Drosophila melanogaster: one gene and its partners. The protein of the gene in region 1 purifies or fractionates together with the protein of each later gene. This does not show direct contact. Each region holds a gene or a part of one and is shown in the gene's direction. Other genes may lie near its edges. The genes, in order: Atac1, Mocs2B, Atac2 and Ada2a.

Evidence for each region.
Region 2: the proteins of Atac1 (region 1) and Mocs2B purify together in Drosophila melanogaster (affinity purification with mass spectrometry; 4 studies listed by BioGRID, with this or other methods). This does not show direct contact.
Region 3: the proteins of Atac1 (region 1) and Atac2 purify together in Drosophila melanogaster (affinity purification with mass spectrometry; 4 studies listed by BioGRID). This does not show direct contact.
Region 4: the proteins of Atac1 (region 1) and Ada2a purify together in Drosophila melanogaster (affinity purification with mass spectrometry; 4 studies listed by BioGRID, with this or other methods). This does not show direct contact.

The regions. Positions count from the first base shown.
Region 1 is NT_033779.5:6,956,559-6,963,628, reverse strand, and holds Atac1 (Ada2a-containing complex component 1), read left to right. Parts: upstream 1-3,300; 5' UTR 3,301-3,375; coding exon 3,376-4,446; 3' UTR 4,447-4,530; downstream 4,531-7,070. Other genes in the region: sip2 (septin interacting protein 2), read left to right, coding at 75-1,734, 1,799-2,038; Hmgcl (3-Hydroxymethyl-3-methylglutaryl-CoA lyase), read right to left, coding at 2,156-3,082, 3,142-3,186; CG3430 (uncharacterized protein), read right to left, coding at 4,590-4,973, 5,040-5,283, 5,342-6,531; CG13775 (uncharacterized protein), read left to right, coding at 6,757-7,011.
Region 2 is NT_033777.3:25,123,585-25,130,893, reverse strand, and holds Mocs2B (molybdenum cofactor synthesis 2B), read left to right. Parts: upstream 1-3,534; 5' UTR 3,535-3,547; coding exon of another isoform or gene 3,548-3,820; 5' UTR 3,821-3,830; coding exon 3,831-3,959; intron 3,960-4,020; coding exon 4,021-4,327; intron 4,328-4,451; coding exon 4,452-4,727; intron 4,728-4,791; coding exon 4,792-5,060; intron 5,061-5,119; coding exon 5,120-5,242; 3' UTR 5,243-5,262; downstream 5,263-7,309. Other genes in the region: Clbn (caliban), read right to left, coding at 1-47, 106-1,221, 1,284-2,161, 2,233-2,962, 3,028-3,083; Mocs2A (molybdenum cofactor synthesis 2A), read left to right, coding at 3,548-3,820; vig2, read right to left, coding at 5,538-6,304, 6,779-7,262. UniProt on the Drosophila melanogaster protein: Catalytic subunit of the molybdopterin synthase complex, a complex that catalyzes the conversion of precursor Z into molybdopterin.
Region 3 is NT_033779.5:18,606,826-18,615,113, reverse strand, and holds Atac2 (Ada2a-containing complex component 2), read left to right. Parts: upstream 1-2,864; 5' UTR 2,865-2,935; coding exon 2,936-3,345; intron 3,346-3,405; coding exon 3,406-3,557; intron 3,558-3,612; coding exon 3,613-3,787; intron 3,788-3,853; coding exon 3,854-5,085; intron 5,086-5,151; coding exon 5,152-5,507; 3' UTR 5,508-5,538; downstream 5,539-8,288. Other genes in the region: IFT46 (intraflagellar transport 46), read left to right, coding at 1-670; CG10333 (uncharacterized protein), read right to left, coding at 5,659-7,960, 8,024-8,190.
Region 4 is NT_033777.3:18,250,145-18,258,367, reverse strand, and holds Ada2a (transcriptional adaptor 2a), read left to right. Parts: upstream 1-2,880; 5' UTR 2,881-2,987; coding exon 2,988-3,051; intron 3,052-3,131; coding exon 3,132-3,993; intron 3,994-4,051; coding exon 4,052-4,814; 3' UTR 4,815-4,912; coding exon of another isoform or gene 4,913-5,093; intron 5,094-5,155; coding exon of another isoform or gene 5,156-5,330; 3' UTR 5,331-5,525; downstream 5,526-8,223. Other genes in the region: Tgs1 (trimethylguanosine synthase 1), read right to left, coding at 760-2,160; moi (modigliani), read right to left, coding at 2,157-2,496, 2,556-2,752; Polr2D (RNA polymerase II subunit D), read left to right, coding at 2,988-3,051, 4,913-5,093, 5,156-5,330; CG12320 (uncharacterized protein), read left to right, coding at 5,669-6,808; CG18598 (uncharacterized protein), read right to left, coding at 6,890-7,024, 7,090-7,224. UniProt on the Drosophila melanogaster protein: Component of the histone acetyltransferase (HAT) complex ATAC; predominantly involved in acetylation of histone H4, including at Lys-6 (H4K5ac) and Lys-13 (H4K12ac).

The DNA.
Region 1 (7,070 bases):
GCATAAATAGTTTGGACAGTTTAGACACACATACAATTTAGTTGAGAAAACTAATAACAGTTTTCCTTTTTCAGCTTGCCGAAAAAGCCCGTGAAAATGGACGAAACGAAGGATATGCGCTATAGTTTGGAGATCGACGAGGATTTGAGGAGACCCTTGGAGGCGCGGGCCAAGAAAGTTCTGGCCGTTAATTCTGCCAGTCAAAGGACTGTTAATCTCGGCGAGGATACTATGTACGAGGCAGGTGACTTGGAGCACTTGGACGATGGCGATGATAGCTTCAGTGCCTTTGAGCGCATGTGCGACAAAACCGGTTCCGATCCGGATAGCACTCTTTTCCAGTACCTGCACAGCGAGGACCGGAGTCAGGTGATGGCCAGGGCTAGGGATCATAGCACCGACGATCAGAAAGAGATCGATGCACTGCGTCGCATGCTAGAGGCAGTGGGTACAGAAGACGATCTATTGGAGAACGAAAGTCCCGTCAAGGGGGCGGAGTGCACTCACCTGGAGGACATTGAGGCGCCGTCGCGCTTTTGGGACAACACCCTGGCCGGAATGGACGAGACCTCATCCGACTCTGGGCTGACTCCTAAAGCATTGACCAAGGTTTCGCCTGTCAAAATGGTGGGGCTGCTTCGCCCCTCAACCATCATCGAAGACAGCGAACTGGAGTCGTCTGATGTGTCTTCACACACAAGCTTCCAAAGCGCTCGCACCCTAAAGACAAATGCATCTAGTTCTTACGAAACAGCCACGGATACTTCCCTCAGTGGAACGCTCCTAAACGTCGACGAATTGTTTTACGCCGCAATTGCCAAGGCCAAGCCACCAGGAATGTCCAAGGGAGAGGAGCTGGAGCTCTTAAGCGATCTTCATGGCAGTCTTAGAGAGCTGGCCTCACTTCCGAAGGATGAGGTCGAGGAGGAAGAGGACGATATAGAGGATACAATAATCGAGCTATCCTCTTCTGACGATGAAGAAGTGCAGCTAGTTCCAGAAGTAAAACAAGAAGACACGTCCCGTGTGTCCTCAGTCCACGGAAAAGATCACACTGAGCAGAAACCAGCGGAGAAGAGCGTTGAAAATAAGGAAAATTCGTTGCATTTCAATGATACCATGGAAGAAATGGAGTACATGATGCAAAAGGGTATGGAGTACATGGCAGGTGGGGCTCCTTCAGTCGCCGCAGTCAAGGCAGATTGCCCTGTGCTGCCCAAGACCAAACAAAGCACGTTCGTTGTTTCACCGAAGCCGGAACCAAAATCACCGGCTGTAGCCTTTTTGCAGCCATCAATTCCGCTGCGGTCATCTAATCAGCCACAAACAGTTGTAGGTTCATCTAGCACGGGTAGAAAGCCGCTCAATGTCGGCCTCACCATGGAGTGGACCAAAAAGAAATTTTTCAGTGCAGCCTCTGGTATTCCTCAGCGTCGCCAAAATCAGATAAAGCAGCCATACGCCAACATAGTCAGTCCCATACGCACCTACACCCAGAAGTCTGGTACTGCTCCGCTAATGAGTACATTCCGTCCAACGAGTTCTGATATGCTATCTACACTGGCCATCAGTGAGTTGGAGCAGGAGTCTCGCTTGTGTCATCCTAAAGCACTTTTCGCAACAAAGGACGAAACACCCAAGTCCAGTGAAGCGGAATCTTTAATTATCAATGGAATCGATTCAGCCGCTGATCTGCTTCCCAAAAAGGCTTACATATCTTCCGAAATCAAGCATGTAAGTTTAAATTTATATATAAGCCATGATGAGTGAACGTAAACTAATACCTTCCATTGAACAGGTGGTTGATGAACGAACTCCTTTGCCCATGCCGAAGGTACCTCAAATTCAAAAATACCTCAACTCCGCCGTGGAGCCTACTGTTATGCGCCACGATGGCAAAATGAAAATGCCCGGCGAGGCAGTCCGCAATCCGTCGTCTTCGCATATCCCACGACGCGCCAATCACAGCCTGGCTGATCTGTCGCTCGCCTCAGGCGACGTGTCCTTATACACAATAAGAGATGCCCAAAAGTTTTAAGGCCCATAAAAGTACTTCACGCTCCTTGACTAAATATTGCAACGATAATAAATGTATTGTGTAACTAGTGCTAGTAAATGCCTTCGTTTTCGTTTGATAGTATCAATGCTTGCATCATCACTTAACTCGCGCCTGCGGTCCCTTCCACGCTCGATTAACCTTGGACTCTGAGGTTCTGCCCAGTTCGGTGCAGATGTACCGCCCCACTTGGATCAGTTTGTCTAGGTTGACGCCAGTATCGAGGCCCATGCCGTGCAGTAAGTAGACCACATCCTCGGTGGCTGCGTTGCCTGACGCCCCCTTGGCGTAAGGACATCCGCCCAAGCCAGAAACGGAAGAGTCCACCACCCGAATGCCATAGTCCAGTGAGACCAGTATGTTGCTCAGAGCCTGACCATAAGTGTCGTGGCAGTGCACGGCCAGATCTTTAGCCGGGACGACCTTGGTCACCTCATCCAGCATTCGGCGCATTGTGCCTGGAGTGCCCACACCAATGGTGTCGCCCAATGAGATCTCATAGCAGCCCATTTGGTACAGGGCTTCCACCACTTTGACGACAGCACTCGGCGCAACAGCACCCTCGTACGGGCAGCCAACCACGGTGGAAACGTAGCCCCGGACGCGCACACCATGCTTTTGGGCTGCTTTCAGCACAGGTTTAAATCGTTCGATGGCCTCAGCTGCCGTGCAATTAACGTTCTTCAGCGAAAACGCATCAGATGCGGCTCCAAAGACTGCCACCTCCTCGGCTCCCGCCTCCAGAGCACTCTCGAATCCCTTCAGATTAGGCGTGAGGACTGGATAGCTTATACCAGTCACTTTGCGGATTCCTTTCAGCACTTCGGCATTGTCGCCCATCTGTGGCACCCATTTGGCGCTCACAAAGCTGGTGGCTTCTATGGTTCGCAGTCCTGTTTCGGACAATTGGTTGATCAGCTCGATCTTGGTGGCTGCCGGCAGGAGTTTGGGCTCGTTTTGAAGACCATCCCGCGGTCCAACCTCCACAATTCGCACCTGATTGGCCGCGCTTGTAACCGCCGTGCGCTGTTAGTTTTAAAATTATTAAAATATTGTCAAGTGCGTTCGATTTTCCGTGAAATTACCTTTGCTGTAAGTGCAAGGATAGAGCGAATTGGTGCACTTATCATTGCTAAATTTGTAAATAAACGTTACGTATTCCGCTTCTTCTTTTTTCGCTGATAACAGCTGATAATGATCCAAGATCGATATGTTGCTAAATTTCGATAACTGTTTTGCTTAATGAGCTGCCATCTCTAGCGCAGAGGCGTAAACACATTTTTTGTATACAAACGGGTATTTGGTGCTAATTCTTTGTAATGGAAATAGCAGAGATATCTGCAGAAGATGAGGATGTGTTTCACTTTGAGACCGAGCACCTGGCCCTGCGTGGCAACCAGTGCTATACCAATTTGCTGCGCACTTTGGCCGTGCTGCAGGCACAAAGGATTCGGGTGCATCAGCAGATTGAGGAATTGGAAGCCACACAAAATATCTACTTGGAGAATCCGCAACATATGCTGGACAAACTGCGAAACAACGAGCCTTTGATAGCGGATAATTACATCACCACGACCGTTCTACCGGACTTGCCAACTCTGTCGCCCAATGACGAGGAAGGGGGCACAAATGAGACACCGACCGATGCGTCTTCATGGACGCAAGAGGCGAACAAGAATCGGGACAGGAGCAATGGACGGTCGGAGAATTTCAATCGCTTGTGGACCAACGAAGAGCAGAGTCGCTTGGAGCAGCTGCTCATCCAGTATCCGCCAGAGGAAGTGGAAATGCGCAGATTCGGGAAGATAGCGAAGGCCTTGGGCAACAGAACGGCACAGCAAGTGTATAGTCGTGTCCAGAAGTATTTCCAAAAGCTGCACGATGCCGGAATGCCTGTGCCCGGTCGCATACCCAAGCATCGACGTCCTGGTTTGAGTAAGCCGAAGATCAAACTTCGCAAGTCAACCTTCTTCCCCGCTCATAATATATCGCTACAAATGCCAGAGGACGATTTCACATTTGACGACCTGCGAATCCCATCGCCTGCGAGCGATATGCTCCTTATGCCGGCATCCAAGATCGAACCAAAGATCGAATCCGAGTACATGGATGCCGATCTGAATGCGGAGTCAAAGCGAAAACAGGAACTATGCCTTAAGCTTCTATCAGCCATTCAGGACGAGAAACGGGAAATGGAGGACGGATATGAGCCAGACTTGCTGGCCGCCAAGTGTGCCGAGTGCGAAGAGGCATCTGTGACCAGGACCCAATGGCGTTGTAACAGTTGTTATTGTTACCTTAATCTGTGCGGAGATTGCCTGGCCAGTCAGCTAATCGAAGGGCGTTTCGAGCATTTAAGTCATGAAGTTGTAGTGGACCAAGAGTCATGACGCTCCTAGAGTCCCATTTACTTGAGTACTAAATTACTAGACTTGCCTGTAAAGCTACAAATTAAATATAAAGAGAATAATTTTAAAAAATTCTATTTTATTTATAAAAACTTAATATTAAATGGTATAAAAGAGAGGCCCTCTTAATTGCGCAATTGGGCAGATGATTTCGGCAGAGATTGAATACGCTGGCGACGCTTTGCTTCGAACTCCGTAGCCAGCTGCCATGTTTCTTTGTCCAACGTATCCTTCCCCCGGGCGATGCCCAGCAGCCGTGAGAGGACCAGCAATCCATGCAGATCATCGGCATTACTTTTGACATTAGCTTTACGCATGTCCACGAAATCCTGCTGGATCATTTCAGTGTGCTCCTCGCTCACGTTGAAGCCGCTAGTGCGCGCTGTGGTCAAGTACTTGCGAAACTGCTGCAGACGTGATGGCTGCAGATAGTGGTGGGCTGCCTTTAGAGATTCATCAACAAGTTCCACGGCCTTAGAATCGGCATTAATGGGCAGCACAAAATCGCTCTGAAAACATATCATTAATAGTTTCTATTGGATATAATGATTATTTATATAAACTTATATTCTTACCGGCAACATACTTCGCCCTTCACTGAGCACGAGAACTGGAATATTTGCTTGGTAGTCTATTTGGTAATACTGAAAGTCGCACTTCAGTTCCTGATTATTGATCAAGTGCGCTAAATGCTGAACGGCATGAACACCATTGGCCTCCAGCTTGCCCTGTTGCATGCACGTCTCGTCGAGCACCAAATGCGTATGGGGAGCCAACTGTAGTACGCCGGAAACCAGCTTGTTTGTCTCATAATCCTTCCTGCAAGTACTCATTAATAGGTATTCAATTTTATACTATTTCTGCTTAGCCAACTTACTTTGGGGCAAAGGCTGCCGTGTTTAGTGTGACGAGAGTCATGGGCATGTAATGGCTGGCCGGCAGTAGCAGCTCCAGAATTTGATACAACTTGGTTGCATACGCCTCACAATTCTTAGGGAGATTACAAAGGTTAAGGGCGAACTTGCCGATGCTCTGCATCTCAGAACGACTGTAGACCGTAGATATTAGGTGGGAGAGCAAATACTCGGCAGCCAGATCGTCATCAAAGAGGCAGAGTTTAAGAAGCATGCGCAGATCTTTGTGCACAGCAAGGTGGGTTGGATACGTCTCCTCACATATTTCCGTTGGCTGTCGAAGGCTTTTGTCCAGCAGCGGATTGGCATGCGGCAGCACCTGGACTCCGAAGGCATGCAGGCGGGGTATAAGAAATGGCGATGGATGAGCTGCCTGCAGTTCACTCAAGTTTTCACAATCGTCTATTTCCAGGGTAGCGGCGTCTAGTGAAGCATCCACTGACAGAAAGCCCACAAAGTCGACCAGCGAGTTAAGCTGGTAGGTATCGAACTCCTCGTAAACCTTTACCATGCATGCCATGCTGGGACGATCCGGCAGAGGCGAGTTAATCAGGTAATCAGACCCAAGAACAGAGGATTTGGAGGCGCCGACTGGCTCGCTATCTTTTTGAATCTCTTTTAGGCAGGGTCGCTTGAACGTTGTTTCGCTCGCAACGTCCACATCCATGGCTTCTTCTTCGCCTACAATAGTCCGCTTCTTGGCTGAACTGGGAGATTGACCCAGACTGGCCAAATCGATCTGGGGACAGCACAGCTTCTCATGCTCCTTGCTCCAATCGTTCAGACCAGGCACAGAGACCACGAACATGGTACGCCTCTCTCCATGCACGTTTCCATCGGCGTTGTAGTCAATCACTTCGCCATTGGCTATTTTCAAGCAGTCCCTGTACTTTCCTTCCTGTACACGTTTGCTGCCGTCGGCGGATTTCACTTCGTAGCGCTCCAGATAGATTTCTGGGTCCATCATGTCCTGGATCATTCCACGAAAGCGCACCAGAGTCTGATCCTTCAGCTTGTGAAGAGGCGTGTAGTTGAGCAGGGGAATCGAGTGCCAACGACTGGGATCCTTGAGCAAGTCCTTGAGTGCAGCGCTGTCCGCTTGCTGGGCGGCCAGTTCATCGGGCGTGCTGGGCAGCTCCATCGCACAGGGCATTATCTAGTTAACGAATGAATTTGCAAATGCCTCAAAAACCTCGAATGCAAAAAACAACAGCTGCTTTGGCGCGCCAAAAACTGATTGCAGCATATTAGTGATGGTCATCGATGGGCCTATCGATATCTGCCAGGGATGTCGAACTCTGCCGCAGAACGGATGTAGAGGCGGATGTGGACATCCGCAAAAAATGTACAATTTGAGAATTACCAAAGAATTGCAGCGATGAGCAAGAAGAAAAGCAATGTGTGGCAGTACTTCTACAAGACATCCGGCACAGTGGCCACCTGTCTGCTGTGCAACAGGAACTACTCGAGGCGAGGACGCGGCACAACATGTCTGCGGAATCATCTGAAGAGCAAGCACCCACCGGAGTTCCTATCTCTATCCGGGGACATAAAGTACCTGGACCTGGTTAAGAGCGAGATCTCCATCGGTTCGCCACAGCACCCCACAGCCCAGCTAGAATTGAATCTGCACGTAAGTGGGATAGCATATAGATGTGCATACATACCTATGTACATGCATATGTACTGTGC
Region 2 (7,309 bases), on another chromosome or scaffold:
CCGCCTTTCCTCTTTTTCCCGTACCTGGGGTGAGCTTTACTTTAAACCTAAAAAGGATATCACATTTACAATAAACATTTTATGCGAACTTTCAGTATAGCCTACTTGTAGTTTTGCAAAGCCTGATAGGGAGCAACGACTGGAATCGCGAACAGCAGCTCATCTCCTTCGTGCGGCTGTCCAGTCAGACTGTTGAGTACATCCACATCCCCACCGACGGGCACTTCATCAGCATCGTCCAGTTCCACTGGGTTTTTGGGAGCTGCACTTTTTTCTGGCTTCACGTACTCCTTGGTTGACTCACTTTTCTCCACCACTTTATCGGCACTGGCCTGTGGCTTTTCCTTACCCGATGACTTGAGAATCATCATGCGAATTTCCCGCTCTTCATCATCTTGATCCTTGTATTTTTGCTTCATTTTCTTGAGCTTTCCCTTCTGACCTCTCTTAACTTGAGATGGATTTTTTGGTTCACTACTCACAGGAGGGACTTCCTGCTTGGCAGCTTCTTGTTTCGCCCGTGCCTTGTCTTCCTTGGTCTTTTTGGCACTTACTTGCTTTTTACGACTTGGACCAGCCAAAATAATGGTCGTTTCTTCATCGTCCGTCTTTTTCAAAATTTTGTCTAGGACAACTTCACTCTCTTTAGTCTCTTCAATCTCTGGATTTACGGAGTCGGATCTGACTATAATGCGACCAGTATCGTGCTCAATCTTAACTTCTGTATTGGGAAAAGCTGTAATTTCGGTATTGGAGCTTGGTTCCGATAGATTTATATTTGAATCAGCGTCTTCATTATCCGACAAAAGATCATGTTCAACTTCGTTTTCTTTAACATTTGGATCTATTTGATCATCCTCCAGGCTTCTAACTTTACGCTCTCCCAAATGGCGCTCAATGAAGCTATCCTCCAACTTGAAAAGTAAACTTAGACCCATGGTCAGGTGGCAGGAGGGAAGGAAGTTCTTCTTTCCTCTGATCATAAAGCTTCCCGTTGCCAAGTACTCTCCAGTCGGTGCAGTTTTGCTGACCTGATCGCTTGTTACCCAGTACGAGTTGGTAACCACTTTGGCATCCCAAGCAACACTGTACGAAATAGCCATGGATCCTGCCTCTAGCAACGTTTTGGGAGGTATTTCTTCTCCTGTGGGATTTTGAATAATAACACTCGAGGCGCCTTGAATCTCAGCGTGCACATAAATGTCTTTCGGACGCATATATCTGGAATAACAACATGTCATAATTATAAATACTTCGATCTATTTAAGTAATTGAAAGCAAACCTTTTAACAATAAGCTCGTTCTGCTGGGCATCTCTTCCTCCAATAACCAAATAATTTTCAGAGCTGATAAACCAGTAAAACTTTTCAAACCAGAAAACTTTCCGTGCCTTTACTATGTTCGATATAGTCCTCACTTCCTTGAGCGTCTGCTGCGTCTTGCGCTCCGCAGACTTAAGAGCTTTTTGGGAAGCATCTACAGTTTTCTTTTCTTTTTGAGCAGCCGAACGTTTCATATCGTAGTATCGACGGGCATTGGCCCAAGCAGACAGAGCCAAGTCGACATCCACAACAGTAACCTCTGGATCCTTAAGATCGTCGTCTTCATCGTTGTCATATGGATCGCTGAGCATAAGGGATATATGATTAGTCTCCAGTTTAAGCTGCTTTATGGAACTAGCTACAGCATCGCCATTTGCCTGTGCCTCCTTTACAAGCTCGTGAATATCCGGCCAGGATAATTGACTGGCAATAGCTGACTGAACAGCCCGAATTGCATTATCCACCAGACTTTGATTGGACGTTATTAGCTCTGCTTTCTTTCTGTCCACATCTTGGACTTTTGTCAATTCCTCTAGACGCTTTGCGTGGTCATTCTTGACATTAGACAGCTTTTTTAGTGCCTCACGCTCTTGCTGTAGCGTTTTCATGTCAATCTTTTGCGACTCTTGCGTAGAGTAAAATTCATCAACGGCTTCCATAAAGGACTCAAATGTGGCCTTTTCAAAGTTTTTGAATTGAATAAAGAGGTAGGGATGAAATTCGATGTTTCTAAAGAAAAACTCCACCGTTCCATTCTCTGTAGGCTTTTCCTCTTTAACTTGAATAATGTAGCCTTTACTTTTTCCACTATTTCCCTCAGCTATAAGCTCTTGAGCATCCTAAAAGATTGCACAGAACGTTTTATTTACTTTAACAGCAATAATAAATATTTCCACGATATTGTTCTTACCTTTACTGCTTGCTGAAGAATTGGCAAGTCATTAACCATGTCAAATGGTTTCTGTTCCAGTTTCGTATTCTGTTGCTTCTTACGTTGCTTTTTACCGCCCTTCTCCGGCTTGTCCTCCGCCTCCGGCGTTTCTTCCGTTGTTTCCTTTTTGATAACGTGATTGTCCAAGCCGTGTGAGAGGAGAACATGCTCTATAACTGCCGGACCACAGTCCAAGTTGGGTGTTAGAATCTGTCGCAAATAGTCGCCGTTCCTGGCATTTTCCAACAGCTTAACCAAAGCTTCCAGTTCCAGTTCCTTCGTGGGCTGTTTGGCCCGTTCCACGGGATATTTCTCGCGCATGGCGAAGCGCAGGTTCTCGCCCTCCGTATGCGGACGCAAAATATATAACGTGGTCAGCTCGTAGTCGGTGAGGATCACATTACCACGATCGTAGAGCTCCAAAATAACATGGTAGGCGGCATCACCGGTACCGAACTGAAAGTCAACAATACGATCGCTACCCATCTGTTGAACCTTTTCCAGGCGCTTGTTCTTCAAGTGCTTCCTCAACTTCATGCTGAAACCGGACGGAGCCATGTTCTTGGGCCATTCGAACCTAGTGGTATGGAATCTTGTACCAGATTCTATTAGCAGAGTGACCTTCTCCACTGCACCGGTCCCTTGCATCCGGAAGAGGTAGGTCTTGTTATCCACGTCATAGATCTGATTCACTCGCCAGCCGACCAGCCTGGAATATAAATGTAGATGTACCATTATTCCTGGGCATCGGAATTATCCGGATTTTTTACATACTTTTGCAGTTCCGCCACTCCGCAGATTATATCGAAGGTATTGAAACGTGTCTTCATGGTTCTTTATGGAAAGTTGACGATGTCAACACGGAAAGTGAAGAAAAAAGAATCTATCTGGCAACTTAACTTATCATTAAATATTCACAAGTTCGCTATCTACGTTAGATAAGTTAAATTAGTTTAATAGGGAATAATAACAATTTTATTCACTTGCGAAATTAAGTATCGGTGTAAATTGCGATGGACGAACTTTAAACAAAATATATCGATTGTATGCTGTTGATGATTCGGATTGTCAGAATGAATTCGCTGTATAATTACTATGTATTAAATATTTGTATTGTTTATGCAATGAGTAAGAAGCTTCTTTGATTTATCTAAAAAGTTATTAAGCATTTAATAAAGTTTCAGTCAGCTGTTTCCCTTTCCGTGGACTATTCCACTTCGTTCCGATAAGAAATCGATACATAGGTAGTCGGAAAATGGAACTGCTGTGTCATCGCCAATCTTCATTTGTAAATATGAATGCGGATGGACCTGTTGTCAACGTGCACGTGTTGTTCTTTGCTAAATCCCGTGAATTAGCAAACACTCCCCGGTCGACAGTGGAAGTTCCTACTGAAATTACTGCCACCGAACTGCTGGACCACCTGGTGTCCAAATTTGGCCTGACCTCCATCCGGGATAACTTGATTTTGGCCCACAACGAGTCGTACATTGACAACCTGAGTGATAGAATTCTGTTTAAGGAAGGAGACGAACTCGCCATCATACCGCCACTGAGTGGAGGCTAACCTTTCCGCCATGGATCACGTGAAATTGGTAAACGACCCCATAGATATCGCTCATATCCATCAGTTGCTGGCCGATGAAGGCTGTGGAGCCTCATCCGTTTTCGTGGGCACTACGCGCGATAATTTTCAAGGGAAAAAGGTGGCTTCATTATCTCAATCAATTGATTTCATTGATTCATTTGTACTTTTCGACCTTTCAGGTGCTGTCATTGGCGTACGAGGCCTACGATAGCATGGCACTCAAGGAAATGAATAAAATATGCTCAGATCTCCGATCTAAGTGGCTCGATCTGAAGCACATAGTCATATATCATCGATTGGGAACAGTGCCCGTATGCGAAGCCAGTGTAGTTATAGCCGCCTCGTCACCACATCGTTCTGAGGCCTTAGAATCAGTATCTTTTGCAATAGACCAGCTAAAAACTCGGGTTCCCATCTGGAAAAAGGAAATCTACGACGGCGATAACGACAGCGAATGGAAGGAGAACAAGGAGTCCATCAGGCCTAGTAAGATCTTATGAGTAGCCAGCATGACATGTATTCTTATTATTTGTACACTTGTAAATATAATTAACAATCGAGCGTTTACGATTTTATTGGCTTCTCTCTCATCTGTGCATGTACATTGTAGAGAAATCGAAAAGTGGCTTCAACTACGCCGCTTGTCCCTGCAAAGTTGAGGAGTCACATGACGTCCCGCGAACTCTGGTGCAAATTAGAGTTAATGACGCTGAGTTAACCAAGCGTTTAGAATGTTTTGTCAACAGAAAACGAGACGAAATAAACTCACAAAATGTAATTGACTTCAAATCGTCTTTTGTCAGCTCAGACCAAAACTTGAGCGATTCCTGCGCTCGAACGCAGAGCACAATTATTAAGCAGGAGCAGTCAAATTGCCATTTAAAAGGTGGGTAAACGATGCTCTATTTTCATAACTATAGCCACTTTGGTCTACAAACAACCTATCACAGTCCGACGAGTAAACAACCGATGCGGACCTCAGCAAATGGAAATGCGACCCAACTACGAACTCGAACTGAATAAACTAATGGGATCGCGTGACGGTCAAACGGATCCAACCAAAGAAATGAGGAAATCGCTACCCAATTCACGACTACAGGCAATTGAATCGTACATGGGTCTAACCACCGACAACGAGGAAAACATTTTCAGTAGAATCAAACGAGTGGAAAATAGACTGCTGCAACTGGAGTCCATTTCGCCCGAGTACAGACACTTCGTAGGTTCTTAAAACATTTCCTGTAATTGCAGTTCTAAAAAAATTCAATCTATTCTCAGACCAAACGTGAACCGTCATCTATGGAAGCCGCGCCGCCGAAGAAGAGCCGAAAGAAATCGTATTCGGCGCAAGAATTAAGTGCATTCATTCAAAAGATTAAGGATGGCAGCGAATTAAGCTAATAAAAACCTAATTAATTATTATTCCTTGGTTTGTAATTGATGTAAATTTATTTCAACATTCCAACTATTTGTAATAGTTTTTTTTATGCGTAAATGATGAGAGTGAAAAATGCAAAAATTTTTGTTTACAACTAAGGAATATGGATAAGCGTGGCTGATTTGTTTCTGTTTATTAATCGGTCGTCAAGCTTCATAGATCGCGCCCGAAAATCTAATGGTTATTTGTTAACCGAAGGACCAGCTTACTAATTATTTAATACGCGAAATTATTAAATCTTATTGTTGTTCTCAACTCCTAGCACAGAGTGGGGAATTGAGCTTCATCGTCAACCTTCAGTGGCTTCTGGGCGGAGCGGCGTTTCTCTCCGAATCTGTTGTTGTCTTGTCTGTTTTCATAGCCGTTGCTGGGTCCGTTGTTAAAGCGGGGACCACGGAATCCCTCTCCACGCGGTCCGTCATTGCGGTAGCCTTCTCCACGCGGTCCCTCATTGCGTGGACCCTCTCCGCGAGGTCCGTCGTTGCGATAACCACCTTCTCCGCGAGGTCCGTCATTGCGATAGCCACCTTCTCCGCGAGGTCCGTCATTGCGGAAGCCACCCTCGCGAGGACCGGCTCCGGGGCGAGGTCCCTTGCGGAATCCGACCTTGCGTCCATCATTGAAGTTGAACTGGATGTCCACGATGCGCTGAAGGCGGCCCACGCGCTGAGGATACAGCGATGGATCATACTCCAACTCGTCTTCGCTGTTGCTCTCCTTCTTCTTGCTCAGCACGATCATCTTCTTCCACTCGGCATTGTCGGCGGCTCCCTCGCCCGCTTTGCGCAAATTGTAGTTGGGCTTGGCACGCTGGTCTCTCAAAGCCTTCCACTCGTCAAGGGTCATCTGCTTGGACTCATCCTCTTCGGCGGCGACCGCGGGATCAGCCGACTGTTCGTTGGCCGAGTCCTCCTTTTCCGCCTGCGGTGAGGTCTCCCCGGTCGTCTTTAAGTCCTCAATGTCCTGCTTCGGGGAGCCCCAGTTGTGGGCACCACCGCCTTCGCGCTTGTCAATTGACTTGACGCCTGTGGAGAATAAATCAGCTATTAATAGGCTTCAATCGATATGAGTAAAGAGGATTTTCGGGAAAATGTTTGCCGTATAAGACAAATTAAAAGTTTAACCAAACGAATTTTATATTTTCGGTAACGAATTAATAAATTAATAAATTATAAGATCAAAAATCAAAAAAATCAAACAAAAAAATGTCCAAGAAAACACATGTGTGAACACACGAGTTTGCAACGCAGTAATTTCATTATTTCATCATTTAAAATTAATATTTACAAACACGTTTTCAAACGTTTTGCGTATTACAAATGCCTAAAAGTCACGTGAGAAATACGCGATATGTAATCAATCTTGTTGCCAAGGGTTGCGTTTTCTCTATATTTTGCAGCATGCCGCCATTACAGGGCAGCATTTTCCACGCAGAAAAAACGGATTCACTTGAGAAGCAAACACGAAAACCAAGGACAGAAGAATCTAGACATAATTACCAGTTCTATCGGATCCCGACTGGCGATCGAACTCGCGCTTTCCGAACTTCTCGCCGGTACGGACGCGTGGTGGTCCCCTGTTGTCACGATTGTTGAATTGACGCTGCGGCAACTCGTTTCCGAATTCTCCGTTCGACTCCTTATTTCCGTAGCGTTGGTTGTTGTTGAACCTGCCCTGGTTGTTGGCACCGTTTGCTGTTGGGTTCTTGGGACGACCCACATCCCCGCCAGCGGGACCCTTGCCGCCTTTCACTGGACTAGCGTTTTTAGCCACCGGAGCGTTGGCCTTGCGGGCAGCCACAACCGGCTTGTTCTCCTTCTCCGACTTGCTCTTTGGTGCCTTTGGCGCCTTTGCCGGTTCCGGCTTCTTGGGCGCCGCGACTACAGCGGCAATCTGTGGCTGTGCGAGCCCAGAGGAGTCATCGTCGTCCATGAACAACAGCTCGTAGCGGTTATTTCCAGAATTGTCCATGATGTAAAATTTCTACGGATTAAAATTGAACCAGATTTGAGAGTTACTTTGGTCCCAAT
Region 3 (8,288 bases), about 12 Mb from region 1:
TCTGTCCGTGCCCGGAGAACTCAAGGAACTCTTTCCCTACATCGTCAAATACACCCCGCAAACGATCGATACTCCGTTTCACCTGCAACCTTTCATCCCCGAGTTTGTGCCCGCTGTGGGTGATGTGGATGCCCTTCTGAAAGTCCAGGCTCCGCCTCTTTTGCAGCCCCAACGCCAGAAGGATCTGAACGATCACTTGGAGAAATTGGGCTTATGGTTGCTCGATGAGCCCTCTGGCGCTCAAAGTGAGCCCAGTCTGCTGAATATGAAACTTCGGTCGGTACTGAGTGGCAGCATGGGGCGAAATCCGCGTCACGCCTCCTCCGCATCACTGGTTCCCACCGCCCGATCGGGCAAGGATATAGAGAAGTGGATCACTGAGGTGGAACAAGTGCATATGACTCAGTCAATGTACGATGTCCAGCCCAGAAAGGACATAGATGCCCTCCTGGAGGATTGGCCGAGATCCTTTGGCGATGAACAAACCATTAATGCCCTTGATCAGGCCTACAGATCCTGTCTGCAGCAGAACATTTCTGTAGCGGAATACGTGGGAGTTCTTTGCGAGAGATTCGGAGTGGAAGGACCTTTGGAGTCGCAGGCGGACTACATCCATAATGTCCAGACACTCTTTGCCCTCTACTTGGCCGCCAGTCAGGCGTGGGAATAATAGATGCATATAAAACATAAATCATACAAATGATCAAGGAAATCAAAACATAATTTGTTCTTAAAATATATGTTTTAAAGTTAATAAAATATTTATTCTTATAGCTTACAATTTATTTTTAATTTCTGTTTTGTATCTACTAAAGAAGTGTAATAGAGATCCAGACACAATTACACCTGACTGCAAAGAATTTAACAATTATTGTTAAATTATATAACTTATAATGCTATTTAATCAAATATTCATCGAGCATCGTATATATTTTCTCAGTGCATCGGCTGGTAGCAGCCCCACTAATAACGCTAATGGCTTCGATTAAGTGACAGCCAGACGGCGTTTGTTTGCCCCTCACGATGGGGGGATGCCCCCATATCCTTCCCTTACTTTTCCCTTTGTGCCAGGACCTGGCCTTAAATCGTTCGGAAAACGGTCAAGCCATGGCCGTGGAGCTAAGGTGCAATAAGTCTGGTGATTGAGAGCAAATACGGTTGTTATGAACAAAATGGGTGGCCAAACAAATTCTAACCAGCATCGCATCTGTAAATGTCATAATCAGCTAGTAAACGACTATCCAATTTGTCAAGCTCTTTCCAGAAAATATTTACCCTCGAGCTTTAAGTGATTTATGAGTGAAACTCATTTTAACTTTCGCAAAACTAAGATATAGATATACTTTAAAACATAATTCGGGGATATACTTTTGGCTGTAGTAGCACCAACAAATTAATTTGTTTCACCATATTTTTCGCTCTTTTCGACTTGCCAGCGGGCAGTCGCGAATTAAATGAAAATCTCCTCGAGGCGCCAGACAAGCAAGTTGAAAGGAATTCAACTACAGATATTAAAGGCAGGGAAGAACTTGAAGTGCAATATTCAAATTGAATTGAAAACGATGAGTGTTGAAGTGAAATCGTAAATAGGTGCATATCCTGTAAGATGCACAAACTGCATGCTTTGCAGTAATAATCATTCGGCAAATAGAAAGTGATTTACAAAAGAAACAATTGTGGATCCGTTCAGCTTTGGTTCTCAACTGAATACCCCACTTAGCCGGCCTGCAGTTTCGACCATCCCACTTCAGTCCATAAACCAATCATGCACTTCATCAAACACACAACAACAGCAGAAGCAGAAGCAGAAGCAACAGCTTCGCCAGAACGCAGCAGCCGGCGATGCCTAATTAGGCCCGCTTAAGACAACACACTGACCGGGCCAAAAGCAATGGGGCCAGGTCCGATGGTCGATGGTCTGCCGGAAACAGCCTTAATTATGCGTAAGCCGTAAAGAGCCCATTAATGTCATTTTCGTTGCATGGCCAAAGGACGCTGGGCGTTGGGTGGTGGGTGGTGGGCGTTGGTACTAATGTGCTTGGTGGGCGTAGGGCGTGACAAACGCATGCTTGATCAAGCGAAACGGGACTGTACTAATCAAGCGGATTCTTATCTTCTAGATAGGGAGAACATAAAAAACAATCGGGATCTTTTATATAGTGTATATAAGGGCATAAGGATATGCTAGATTCGTTGAAAAGTAGGTAACTGGCATAAGAAATAACAAAAGAAAAAGTCATTCCCGACAGTATTAAGCATATATATGTAATCAGGATCAGTGGACGAGTCGATTAAAACGTGTCCTTCTGTTCGTCCGTATAAGCGCTGTGATCTCGGGAACTTAAAAGTTAGGAAGCTAAGATGGAGCAATCAGATTCTAGACATGTAGACGCATCACAGTTTGTTTCAGAAGAATGCCACGCCCACTCTAACGCCCACCAAGAGCTCAAAACTTTTAAAAAGTGTTTTGATATTTGCTTGCAATTTCTAAAAATGTGACAAGAAAATGTTGAATACACCTGAGAAGAGGGTATATAATATGCGAAGACCATAGCCTTGTCTCTGTTCCATATTAATTAAAAATGCTTATTTATGACATTTTAACAATAAAAAATTATTTTAAATTATGTTAATGCTGACATCTTCGGCATTTTAAAACGGCAATGTTAATAAATAAATAAGTGCTTAATAATAATATGTTTTGTAGTGCTTCAGAAAAGATCAATTAAGAATACAAATTAATTTTATTTTTTGTTTTCCCAATTCAAATTATTGACAAATTTGAACCGAGCACAGTGCGATTTTTTGGTATTTTCAAAATGTAAGCTTCTCATATATATGGTATAAACCAAAAAGTGCGAAACGGTAACACACAAACAACACATTATTTTGTTGATTGTTTTTAACTTGCAATTTGTGCTGTTTTACTGAGTAAATGAATCGGCCCAGTAACTGGGATGATCCCCAGGGACCATGCCGCTACTGTGAATCGCCGGTGGAGGACGACAACTACCTGGAGTGCCAGGAATGCAGGCGGATGGTTCACATCAAATGCCTGCCGCATGCTTGCACGCCCGGAGATCTTTTAGGCGACGTTTTCTTCGAGTTCACGTGCGTCAAGTGTGTGCTGGATAAAGCTAAGGAATCGGTCATACCCTCAGATCTAGAACCCATTAAGGAAGTGATCGTGCGCCAAAGGATACCTTGGCTGCTGGTGCTCACCCTAACGCTCTACAATCTGTCCATCAAACAAAAGGGCTTGGGACACCATGGATTCTTCCATTGGCGCACGCACATCATCAGTTTTGTGGACAAGAACTGGAACTATATATTCGGTCCCAATGTGTAAGTATTCGTAAATGAATAATTTCCGGAGAACACATTCAATTTATTCCCCTTGTTCAGGCGGCGTCGCAAGCAATGGACTGGTTCCGTATCCGGCGCACTGTCCCACAACAGTCCGGAGTACTTTCAGTCTGGTCTGGATGTCTTTCAGGAGAACGGCTGGTGGAAACTGGCCAAGCCCTTTCAAACCCCAAGAAGCGTTCTCAAAGAATGTAAGTGCCACTTAAGTTAATGATATGATAGATTTCACAAGTCGTCACATTTCAGATGAGAAAAAGCAACAGTTGCGGCTACAAATGCGTATTGAAAAGCGGTTGCCTGCAGCGGACGAGACCAGCTGTAGCAGCGAGATCTCAGTGGCGGATCATGCCCAGGATAACCCACCGCTTATTAAAGCAGAAGCTGAGAAACCCAGTTCAACAGAGGGCTGTGCGCGAACAATGTAAGATAATTAATTTTGAATACAACTATGCGTTCCTTTCATTAAAATCTTTCACTTTTATTCCAGTCCCTACATGGGCCGTTTGCCAAAGATACAAACACAACCTTCACCCTTGTCACAGGAAACGCTTCCAGGGCCACCAATTCTTCAAGAAAATATAGCGCCACCAAGTCAGAAGGAGGAAGAACCACAGAATCAGCCTATGAGCATGGTCCAAGCAGGCCTGATGGATTTTCTGGCTGAAAGTTTGGAAAGCGATGATTTTACCATGTTTGGTAACCTACCAGGCATAATGCCCCCACCCCTGATTGGAGCGGGTAAAAATGATTTCTTCATGACCGAGCCGTTGCTTCACGCACCTTTGAATAATGAAGGTCTTTTCGACATGGATACAAATTTTGCCATACCAAATACCGCTGATGAGACCAAACCCATATCAACAGAAGAACCTGCAGCCGAAAGCAGCGAGGAACAAAAAGAAGGCGAGGTAGAAGATGAAAAGCCAGAAGAGGACGAATCACCCGACTATCAGCCACGCATCGTACAGGTTACAAATTACCAGGCGCAAGAGGCAAACGAAAGCATCAAAGAGGAACCACTAGAAGAGATAATGCAAGATGATGACGTCACGACAAATAGCAAATCCTCTATCCTAGAGCCTTGCAAACCGAGTGGATTTGTCAGACAACCACGGCGAAATTGGCCCTGGTTGCAGGAGGCGCAGGATCCCGATGACATGGCCATTCCTAGCGAAAATCTCAAACTAATAAATGCATACGAAGAACAGAAGTTGTACCAGCGACTCGATAGAATATTCGCACTGGAGCATCAGTGCCACATATCCATACCTGCCTATGTGCGGCGCCTATATCGAAAACTTTCTCTTCGAAAATGGAAAAGGGACCACAATCGACACATATTTAACTTGGACGAGCACATAGATCCCCTGGGAAGAGCACGCCTAAAGATGCTGGGTCATCAGAAGGCCGAAATTCTTGACAGATATCAGTTGTTAGCCCATTCACGACAAGATGCAAGGAGCTCCTTTCACGCCCGCCTGGCGGGATGCACTCAATACGAGCTCTTTGAATCGCCCTACTCTCAAAGAGTTCTTCATCCATTTATCTTTCGGAGCGAAACGATGGCTCCTCCATGGCTGAAGCTTATGTGCGAGCTGCAGCATAGAGTAAACGGATCTCATCCCACAAGATCTACCATCGACTTCTGTTTTGTGAGACCGCAGCATATTCCGGCCGTAAACGCATTACTCCAAAGTACTTTTTGGCCAAACATTGATGGTGGGTTTCATGATTTTCTTTTTAGCTTTTTTAATGTACAAATTTGTATGATTTTTTCCCTTTTAGTAAGCGAGTGTTTGAGCTACCCGGACTACAGTGTAGTGGCGTTGTACAAGAAACTGGTCATCGGTTGCGGATTCCTAGTGCCCGACGTAGGTTACAACGAGGCCTACATCTCATTCATGGCGGTGCGGCCGTGCTGGCAACGCAGTGGCATCGCCAGCTTCATGTTATATCACCTTATCCAGACATGTATGTCCAAGGACATAACGTTGCACGTTTCCGCCACCAACGCGGCCGTCATGTTGTACCAGAAATTCGGATTTAAGATGGAGGAAATCATCTTGGACTTTTATGACAAGTATCTGCCTCTGGACTCGAAACAGAGCAGAAATGCCTTCTTTTTGAGATTACAAAGATGAGACTTTTTTCAAATAAATGGTTTATGAATCTAAAGTTTCAAAAGACTATTTCGAAAGAGAATTTTTGGTTGCCAAGGTATGGCTTTGGCGCACCCAACTTTATTAGTTTTAAATTTTAACCTAAAGTAGTTCTGCTTAGAATTTGCCAAATTTAGGCGAATATTTTTTCCTCCCTGCGCTTTTTGGTAACCACCGTGCCAGGCTTGTGCTGCGCTTCCGGGTGATTCATTAGCTCCGGCGGACAGGTCGAGACAGGACTTGCAGACACACATTGCTTTAGATCGTAGAACAAAGCGCTATCGTCCTTGGTGACAAACGAAATGGCACAACCGGTTTTGCCGGCACGACCCGTACGACCGATACGATGTGTGTAATCCTCGATGGTCTTGGCCATGTCATAGTTAATAACCAAGGACACGTCCTTGATGTCGATACCACGACCAGCGACGTCGGTGGCCACCAGGATGTCCTTTGCGCCTGACTTCAAAGCAGCCAAAGCATACTCTCTCTGCTCCTGACCCTTGCCACCGTGCAATGTGCACGAGTTGTAGCCGAGTTTCTCCAGACCCTTAGCCAAAACATCGGCGCCCTTCTTTTGATTAACAAAGATAATAACTGGTGGATCGATTTTCCTCGAAAGAATCTCCATAAGCTTCTTGCGCTTGTCGTTCTCGCCCATCATGTACACTATTTGCTCTGTTCTCTCTGTCGGCTTGCCAACAGATCCGATGTAAACCGTTGCCGGTCGCCGGAGATATGTGCGAGCTAATCTTTCCACAGCCGGAGGCATCGTTGCCGTAAACATCACGGTTTGGCGGTACTTCTTCTTAGTGTAGAAGTTCTCCATCAGCTTTGTTTCGTCCTCAGCCTCCTCGGTATCGGGCTTCAGGTTGGTGACGGGCATGTACTCCAAGATCTTTTGAACATCTGGCTCGAAGCCCATGTCTATCATACGATCGGCTTCATCGAGGACAATGTATGTACATTGGTTCAGCACCAAATACCGATTTTCCAGCACATCAATGAGACGACCTGGCGTAGCAATGACAATCTCGCAGCCCAATCGCAGGCGGAAGCCCTGCTCCTCTCTTGACAAACCACCCACAACGACCACAGTTCGTATGCCCAAAGGTTGTCCAAACTTGGTTGTTTCCTCCTCGATTTGCTGGGCCAATTCACGCGTGGGAGCCATTATAATGGCATAGGGTCCTTGGTCCACATCCTCCAGACGCTCGATCTTGGGCAAGGACTGAATCCAAGAGAGCAGGGGTATGAGGAATGCCAATGTTTTACCGGAACCGGTCTCAGCGACGCCAATAATATCCCTGTTCTGCAAACCAATGGGTATAGCTTGCCTCTGAATGGGCGTTGGTTCCTTGTAGCCCACTTTGTCGATAATGTCGATGATCTCCTTGGGAAATCCGGACTCATTCCAACTTCGGATGGGATTGGGAATTCTCCCACCCTTAATTGTAACATTGTAGTCCTCCCTGAAGATACGCCAATCGCGTTCAGTCATTTCATCATTTTCCTTCTCGGACCAATGTCGATCGTCCCACTTCTGCTTGTCCTCCTTGCGCTTCATCTTCTTTAGTCGCACTTTCTCCTGTTCCTTCTCCGCCTCGGTTCGCCTTTTTTCCAGCAGATCTCCATAGAATTTGCTCTGGGTACGCTTTTGTTCTTTGATATCGATGCCAGCCACATTTCCTCTGCCAAAGAATTGCACATGATGGCGTTCCTTGTAGAGATTGTTGTAGTCAATGGAGGTATCTTCTCCAGCATCCCAATCAAAAACAAATTTGCGGTCGTTGAGTCGGCGAACCCGGCGCTTCTTCTTGATTATGCCCAGGTAGCGTTCTCGAATGGCTTCTAATTCCTTTTCCTTGTCTTTGTGGGTGAGGTCTTCAGCTCGCTTGTCATCGCCACGTTCTCCTCTGTCAATTCTGTCGCCTCGATCCCGACCACCTCCTCGTTCCCGACGATCCGGTTTGGGTGGCGGTGCCACAATTGCAGGCGGCGGAGCTCCTGATGCCATGGCCGTGCCCATAGAGATACTGACCTTGCTGGCGGCAGCCATTTGCTCACGGGCAGCATCATGGGCAGCTCGCTGGCGCTCCACTTCCTCCTGGCGTCGCTTGATGGCCTCCAGGGCTCTTTGCTCCTTGGTTAGGAAAACTGGCTTGCTTCTGGCTTCCTCCTCGCGTTTCTTTTTGTCCAGCAGTTCCTCCAGCGAAAGCGGCTCTTTCTTCACCTTTGCTTCCTTGCCGTCCTGTTGCTCCTCGTCGTCAACAATTAAAGGTTTGGGTGGGGCATCGCCAGTATCCATTTTGGCCTTCTTTTCCGCACCACCTCCTCCTCCACCACCGGCGCCACCACCTCTTTCTCTTGACCTTTCTCGGACATTATCCCTAGGCCTTTGACGTTCGGGTGACCTTCGCCTGTTGCGGTCCTCTCTGGAACACATGAGTTTATCAGTTTATGAGACTTATTTCACCATAATTCAAAGTAAAACGTACCGGGAACGCGAGCGACGTTGGCGTCTTTCCTTCTCCCTATCGAACTGCCTATCTCGTTCCCTCACACGATCCCTCTCTCGCTCTCGATCCCGCGGATTGCCCACGGCCGGACGATCCTCCCTGTGACGCTCCCGCGATCGTGAGCGACGCTTTTTATCGTTAACCATACTTTCCTTACAAATTAATTAAAAACTTGTAAAATTTTTCGGCTTGTGGAAATAAACAGCTGATAATAGGACCGTACCATAAATACCACTGGAAACCA
Region 4 (8,223 bases), on another chromosome or scaffold:
GCATGTTAATTGCCCCCGAACCGACGTTGCCAGGTTCAGCAGGATGCGGCTGGCTGCCTGTGTTCCATGGCTTTTGGGCCAAGTCACAACTTGTGGCACAAAGTTCTTAAAAATTGACGCACGCTTTGTTTCCTTTTGCGTTTTAATTAAAAGTCCAATGCCAGTTGCAAGAAGGGATTGCGGAACGTTATGGTTATGACCATTGACCATTGGCCAGTTGAGCTTTGTTAAGCCATCTAAATTGGCTAAAGAGCTTGGACTCTTTGGCATCGCCGGTCACTTGGCAACAATCACTGCACTGAAGGGATGGGTGAAAAGATTTTACTCTTGCGTTACATGTGAGGCGGCTTTATTCATTAGTCAACTTTTCTCCTATCTTTCTATGTGGCAAAAAGAGGGAAAAACTTAAGGCGATAAACAATGAACAAAAAAGTTGTTGACCATAGCCAACATTTTCCTTTGATCCATAATTACAGGAATTTGTGAACTCTGTGTGCTTATATGCTTCGAGTTTAATTAAAGATACTTACCAAATCATTTGTATTACATATTAGTTAAAATGCCTTTCATAGATTTATTTTCATATTATGTTATTGGCTCGTTTTGAATATGATTTATATCTAATAATAAGCAAAAAATGCCATGAAATTATGAGCCCGTTTTTTTTTTTAAATCCATTCAACTATACATATGTATGAAATTAAATATATTTATTTATATAAAAACAATGATGTTATTAAAATTACTCTCAATCGAATCCTACTCATCTTCTCCCACTGAACCCTTTATGATTCCTTTACCATAATAAGCAGTGAGCGCAACCATTCGGGTGTCCAGATAGTTGTGCTCCACCTCGCACTGCTGCCCAACTCCACTTAGAGCGACCACCTGCTTCATATTGGCGTTGCGTGGCAGAAAGAAAGCTACGTCAGATGCCAGGCTACGGGACAGCTGCATCAGTTGGCTAGCACCCACGGGCAGGAGACCTGTTTCGATATCAAAGGTGGCCTGCTTTTGGTAGTCAGGACCACCCCACGGAGGGCTCAGGAAAACCACATTTGGGCGCAGCTTTGTGCTGGCCGCAAACTGCAGAAAATCGGCGTGGATAAACTCGATCTTATGGGCCACACCATAAATGCCGGCATTATGCTTGGCCATGGCCAACTTCTCGGCATCGATGTCCACAGCAATTACGCGTCCACAGGTGTTTGCAAACTGAATGGCATTGCCGCCGCATCCACAGAAAGCATCTACGATCACGTCGCAGGCCAGTCGTCGGGCCGTTTGTTTGGCAATCTTCTCGGGTGTCACCGAGAACCAGCTCTCGCGGTCCAGCCGAATGCCCTGATCGAAGCGGGAGAACAGCGAGAATCGCTTGACCCAGTACTTGACCATTTTGTTGTTATCCTCTTGCATGCACTCTGGCATCCTGGCCTTGAGTTTTTTTATTTGCCTTTGCCGTCGTTTTTTCTTTTTAACAGAACCGCTCTGAACGCCGTGCAGAGCCTCGTTTTCGTTGTTCTCCATGGTCAACAGATCATGATCGTCCTCGCTATCGCTGCTAGATAGTTCGTACTGTGTCTTTCTTTCCTTTCTATAATTAATTATATCTGCCTTCGACGCAAATGATGTTGGCAATCCGAGAAGGCGCAGCTGTTGTTCCTCGTCACAATCCTCGGGATCGTCGTTGGCAGTCAAGTATGATTCGTCCTCCTCTTTCTCTGTGACCCTTTGCTGTTTCGATTTTATTGGCTTATTTGTAAGGCTTAGGTTCTGCAAGTCCTCCTCAACATCTTCTGAGTTTTCAGCGACGTCAAGGCCAAATGATTTGGCCAAATCGTGTTGGTAGTTCTCAAAGGCACAGCTAAATATATACCAGAACTTTTCACTGTAATCGCTGGCGTGCTTCTCCCACAGTTCCTGCCAAAGGCCTTGCTCCTCCGACGAAACCACCTCGATAAGATCTTTGTATTCGGGAAACCGCTTGTGCCACTTTTGCTCGAGCAGCTCATGCCCCTCACGCTGCCAGAATTCTTTCCAGGTAACGTTTTGAATGCCCCCCCAATTGCAATTATTCCAGTCGAAATCGTTACCAAAGAGCTGACTGAATATATAGAACTGCGGATTGGTTCGCGAGGTGGTCAGGTGGTGTGTGTTCATTTCTCGATCAGACTTCTCATCTCCAGCCTGCGAGTCAGCAAGTCCTCGGCTCTGTCGATGACCTGGATGTACCATAAGTCGATGGCCGGTCTGTAGGTGGCAAGTAGCGCGCTGAGATACTGTTTTTGGGCCAACGGATCGTTGGACAGACTATTGATCTTGTCGTAGACACCGCCGGCGGTCAGTTTGGCACCTTTGGGATGCTGCACATTATGTAGCACCACTTCACCACGCACAATGCAGTAGCGGCCGGTACTCACGCGATTTTCGACGACTTTGTCATGGGTAAGGCCAAGAATAAGCAAGGATACGGTGCCCTCGCCCAAGGAGTACTTCCTGAAAGATGCAGCATCATTGGTAAGGACCGGATGGATAGGTAATATAGAAAAACTTACTTTGGCAAACACTTAACGCGCACGTTTTCTAGGCGGTACTGATTCGCCTTGAACGCCAGACGTCCAATTAATGCGCACTGACCGTAGTGCAGGTTGTGGTAGGAAGTTTCCAGCTCCAGTTCCTCCACCAGCAGGGTCTTGAAGAAGTAGCAGTACTTGGGCGCTCTCGAGGTAGAGGCTTCTGGCACCAGGGACATAACTCTCTTGGAAAAAAACCAAGAATTCCGAACAAAATCAAAACACCCGGAATGATAAACTCAACATGCTTGCTAGTGTGACCAACGTATCTACGCACGATGCGACCCACCTATCGATAGCTTCTTCGCCAGTTATAGCCCTGCCTTTCTCATCACTAAAAACAGCGACATTTTATTGTGCAAATTAGAATTTCTTAATATAAACTTTAACAAACTGAGCAGTTCTTAGCTCACTATGTCTTTTATGAACCCCGTGGATATGGTGGATGAGGACGCCGCCGACCTGCAGTTTCCCAAAGGTAACCAACGCCCTACACCAACCGAAATGCAACTTACAAGTGAAACTGGCTGAAACCTTTGGCTTCGAGTGCCCCAAAAGTGGCACTCCTCCACATTTTTACCACACTGAATTGCCTCTTTGCAGTTGAGCCACTGGGGCCACAGGTTAAGCGGTTCATCCATGCACATCAGAATGAACACACCAGGAACTCCATGGTTTTGTATAATCCGCACACGTTGCACAGGTACTTGGAGGAGATGGAGGAAAAGACGCGGGACCAGAATAGCAGTGTTCCATCGGCTACAAAGGATGCCAATCGGTGTGCCACATGTCGCTGCAGTCTCACAGAGCCGTACATTAAGTGCTCCGAGTGCCTCGACACCCTGCTCTGCCTGCAATGTTTCTCACGTGGAAAGGAGGCCTTTTCTCACCGCAATAACCACGCTTACATCATAGTCCGCGACAACATACAGGTTTTCGCCGATGAGCCACACTGGACGGCACGGGACGAGCGCATACTGCTGAAAACACTTCGCACCCACGGCTATGGCAACTGGGAGGCGGTCTCCCAGGCTCTGGACCAGCGCCACGAACCCGCAGAAGTGCGTCGTCACTACCACGATTGCTACTTTGGCGGGATATTCGAGCGGCTCCTTAATCTGAAGCATGCGAGGGACAGCTATGTGCCCGAGCGAATGCCGTATGTCTTCAAAATGCGCAGCTTGGATCCACCACGTCATGACGACATCGCCTCCATGCAGTTCAGACTAAGCGCAGGTTACCGCTGTGCAAGAGGAGACTTCGATACTCCGTACGACACCTCAGCAGAGAGTCTGCTATCTATTATGGTGGATCATAGGGGCAGGGATGACGACAACGAGGCGTCTGAGAGTGAGTTTGAGCGCGAAGTGACAGAGGAATTGCAACTCGGACTAGTTCGGGCATACAACAATCGCCTCAGGTATGATCTTATAACAGAAAGCTACTAAAAAAAATCTAATATGCATATTTACTCACAGAGAGCGCCAGCGTCGTTACAAGATAATGAGGCAACACGGTCTCATAATGCCCAATCGCACCGTCAGCTGGATTTCCAAGTACGTGCACGCCTTTGGCAGCGATGCGAGTTGCATGCGTTTCTTGGGCTTCATGCAGATCTGTCCTGACCCCATTAAGTTCGATATGCTGTTGGAGTCTCTGCGTTATTATCGGGAGCTGCATAGCCAGCTGCACAAGCTATACGATCTGCGGGAGCACGGCGTTCGAACTCTTTCCGGAGCCAAATTATATGCCCGCTTGAGCAAAGAACGTCAGCAGGCTCAGCGAGATTACAGCAGGCTGAAGCAAACAGATGCTTTCGACTGGCAGCAATTGGTGCAGCATTACGAGAGCAACAGGAGCGGTGATCCTGGTCCCCTGGCCATTAACTCAAAGTTATATGTGATGAACACGCGTCGAAAGGCCAGTCCCATTGAGATTGGAGGTGGGAAACACTTTACTCATTGCCTGACACCAACTGAATATAATTTTTCTTTGATCCCAGATCTGCCTGGTTACTCCAAACTGGATGATGGCGAGCGAAAGTTGTGCAGTGTGGCTCGTCTGGTTCCGCAGTCGTATTTGGACTACAAGAATCAACTCGTTACGGAGCAAGCAAAGCTCGGATATCTACGACTGGCCGATGCGCGACGTCTCATCAAAATTGACGTGAACAAAACGCGTCAGATCTACGATTTTCTGCTGGAACATGGCCATATCAGCAGACCACCGTCCTATGGCTAGGGCTAATTTTTTCTCCAATGTTTCACTTGTAAATTTCCTGAATGTCGTCAAGTAACTAATTCAAGAAAAAAAAACCCTTTCGTTTCTCTTTGTTTCAGAGTTCGAAAATGCCGAGACGCTGCTGATATCGGAGGTGCACATGCTTCTCGATCACCGAAAGCGACAAAACGAATCCGCCGACGAGGAGCAAGAGTTCTCCGAGGTCTTCATGAAGACGTACGCCTACACGGATAGTTTTCGAAAGTTCAAAAACAAGGAGACCATAATGTCTGCGCGAAGGTAATGTAGCAAAACCGAACAAAGCACGTACGAGTAGTAATATTCAATTATTTCAAATTCAGCTTGCTGATGCAGAAAAAGCTGCACAAATTCGAACTGGCGGCACTGGGTAATTTGTGTCCGGAGGCGCCCGAGGAGGCCAAGGCGCTGATTCCTTCACTAGAGGGTCGCTTCGAGGATGAGGAGCTGCGCCAAATACTCGACGATATCGGCACTAAACGCAGCTTACAATACTAATTACTACTACGTATAAATATAGTTTAGATATAAAGTCATGGTCCACTTACACAATAAAGTGAAGAACAGCAAGAATTTTAAGTAAATGCAGAATATACACTGTAACAAAAATCAACAAAGTCTAAATACAATGTAATTATATCAAACAAAAGATTTACTTAAAAAAAAGTATATATAAATTGAATTTGCCGCTTGAAAGAATTGTTTGTCTAGTGTTGCCAGACTGCTCACATGAAAGAACTTATCGAAATAGCCGTCACATCTGGCAACTTGCTGAAAGGCCCGCACTTGCAATTGTTTTCTTTTTCCTAATAATTGCAAGCGAACAATATTTCACAATGAACAAGGACAACTCCAGCATGAAAATGGATCCGCAGCTAGCCCTACGCCTCCTGGCTGATGGCGGAGTGCTGGTCATCGCCGGTGTACCCGAGGGCACGGAATTCGGCATTGATCTTTGTGCCTACACCATTGGTCCGGATTTCCGAGGCGTCAAGATGATTCCACCCGGAGTCCACTACGTATGGTGCTCCTCCCGTGGTCCCTACGGCGATGCAGCCCCTCGTGTTGGATTCGTGCACTTCTTCCATCCGAATGAGATTGTCGTACGAGAGTGGGACCACGAACTGGAGGAATTGCGCCCGCGGAGGATTGCCGAACCGGAAGTGGAGCGAGACCGAATACGCAAAAACCTAGCCCAACTGGAGCGCGTGCTGGCGCCGTACGACTATCGTTACGTGGTCCAGTGGAAGGAACTCACCGGCAGCGTGACGGAGTCTTGCGTGGATCGCTGCCGTCCGACAGAAGGAACCATCCGTACGAACATCGAACTGCAATCCTGCCCGGACGCAGATCGGCCGCGAGGTGGAGCCGCTACTGTCAGCATAAGCCGCCGGAATGCTGCAGCTCGGATTCTCTTAGATGAGAGCGAACTCCTACCGGACCTTAAGCCCGTGGAAGGAACAGCTCCGCGCTTCACTACCGTACCCCTGCGTGTTCCACAAGATGCCCTGCCCGCTGATGTTTCCCGCCATGCCTTGGACTGCATCGATGCTGTTGACAAACTGCTCGAAGGCTTTGAAACGGCCGATGGACTCATTGAGGAACTGCAGCTGGCTTACGCATTTTTCCTAGTGGGCTACTCTGTGGAGTCTCTGGCCCACTGGCGCAAGCTTTTGGGCTTGCTGGCTCACTCGCAAACGGCGGTCACCAAGCACAAGTTAACGTACATGAAATACAGCGAGGTTTTGGCCCACCAGCTGCCCCATCTGCCCGAGGAGCTGATGGTGCCTGGTCCGCATAACACCGTCTACAAAGATGTACGCGAACTGCTGGTCAATCTGCATGCGGGCGGCTTAAGTGTCAGCGCTGAGCGGCTAACTAAGCGGCTGGAGAAAAAATTGGGATGGGAATTCGAGGGCCTGCTAGACGAGGATCCCGAGGACCAGCCTGTAGTCATCGAACTTCCGGAAGCCTAGGAGAAGGGCGCTACGCATGTGAAGTGTAATTCATATATTTGTAATACAATGGACTGAAACTGATCTATATTGATTTCTACTTTAACGCAGCGAATGCTGGGTGCGCAAGTAATTCCACAGATCCCGAGCCGTGCGGATGCTGACCATGAATTGGCACAACTTGGTCTCGATCAGGCAGAGAATCAAGAACTTGGCCCGCTTGTCCTTTAGCAGGGACTGCAAGGAGTATGGCATGGACATGGGTTTTCTGTAGCCATAAACGGCGCCACACCATCACTCACCTCCTCGTTGTTCTCGGGACCATTCTCCACCACCGTCCAGAGTTCCTCCGACTCCAGATACGCCCGCACCGTCATCGACCAGGCCTTGTAGTTGTCCAAACCTTTGAGCTTCTCAATTTGCAGCTGCAGTGCCATCTCCGAGACTCGAGCAACGTTTCGCAACTAAACCGCATTCGGGCCCTTTGCTGTTTCCTTACCTTCGCCTCTTCCAGCTGTTGTCCAGATTTTTAAATATAGATATCTTAGTATTTGTATCTGTATGCACACGGCTTTTCCATTGTGCACATCAGCAAACTGAAAACAATGGCCACTAGACCCACTTTTCGTGTTGCTTCTGGCCCAGCTATACATTCAGCTTAAGTGGACACTTCTGATTTGACGCAGAAGCGCTGTCGCTTTATGTGCCTGCCTGCTTGTATTTTCCGATGACCACAGAATTTAGTTTGACATATATTTCTTCTGAGCAGCAGCAGTGCGCCTTCTAAGCTCGCATCTTTTGGATGCATTGACAGGTACGAATCTTCATTTTCTGTGGCTAAGTCTTGGTTAATAATTAAAAACTGAATGTGGGATTGATCTCGATTCGAAGCTATGCTTGATTAGCAAATGATAATGATAGAAGAAAATGTGTTTGAAAATCTTTATTGAAAACTTCATTTAAAAACTATGTAAAATTTCTCTATCATACTGAACGCGTGAAATCAAGAAAGATGCATGATTGAAAGGATCACTTAAAATAAATCCGTCAAAATGTAAAACAAACTAGTTTTATTGTTATTTATGGTCGACTTCCAAAAAAAAAACTAATAAACTAATAGAGAAACTGCGTGCCGATAAGGAAAACATTCGGTTCCTTTCTATATTTTCAATCTTTCTATGATTGACTGTGACCATTTAAACAAGCCCATAAAAACACGAGCCCCAAACTCAATTAATAATAAATTGTGTTGCCCAATTGTTGTTTTGTTTTTATGATTTTTATTTGAAATGAATACGAATGTCAGTTTTAGCTGCTGGTTTCTTGTATTGCTGTTGTTGTTACGTTCAAGAATGTGGCTGTTGTTTTTGCTGCCTCGGCTGATTTATGCTTAATTAACTTTCTGCACGGGCCTTTTCTATTCAGCGACTGCAAAA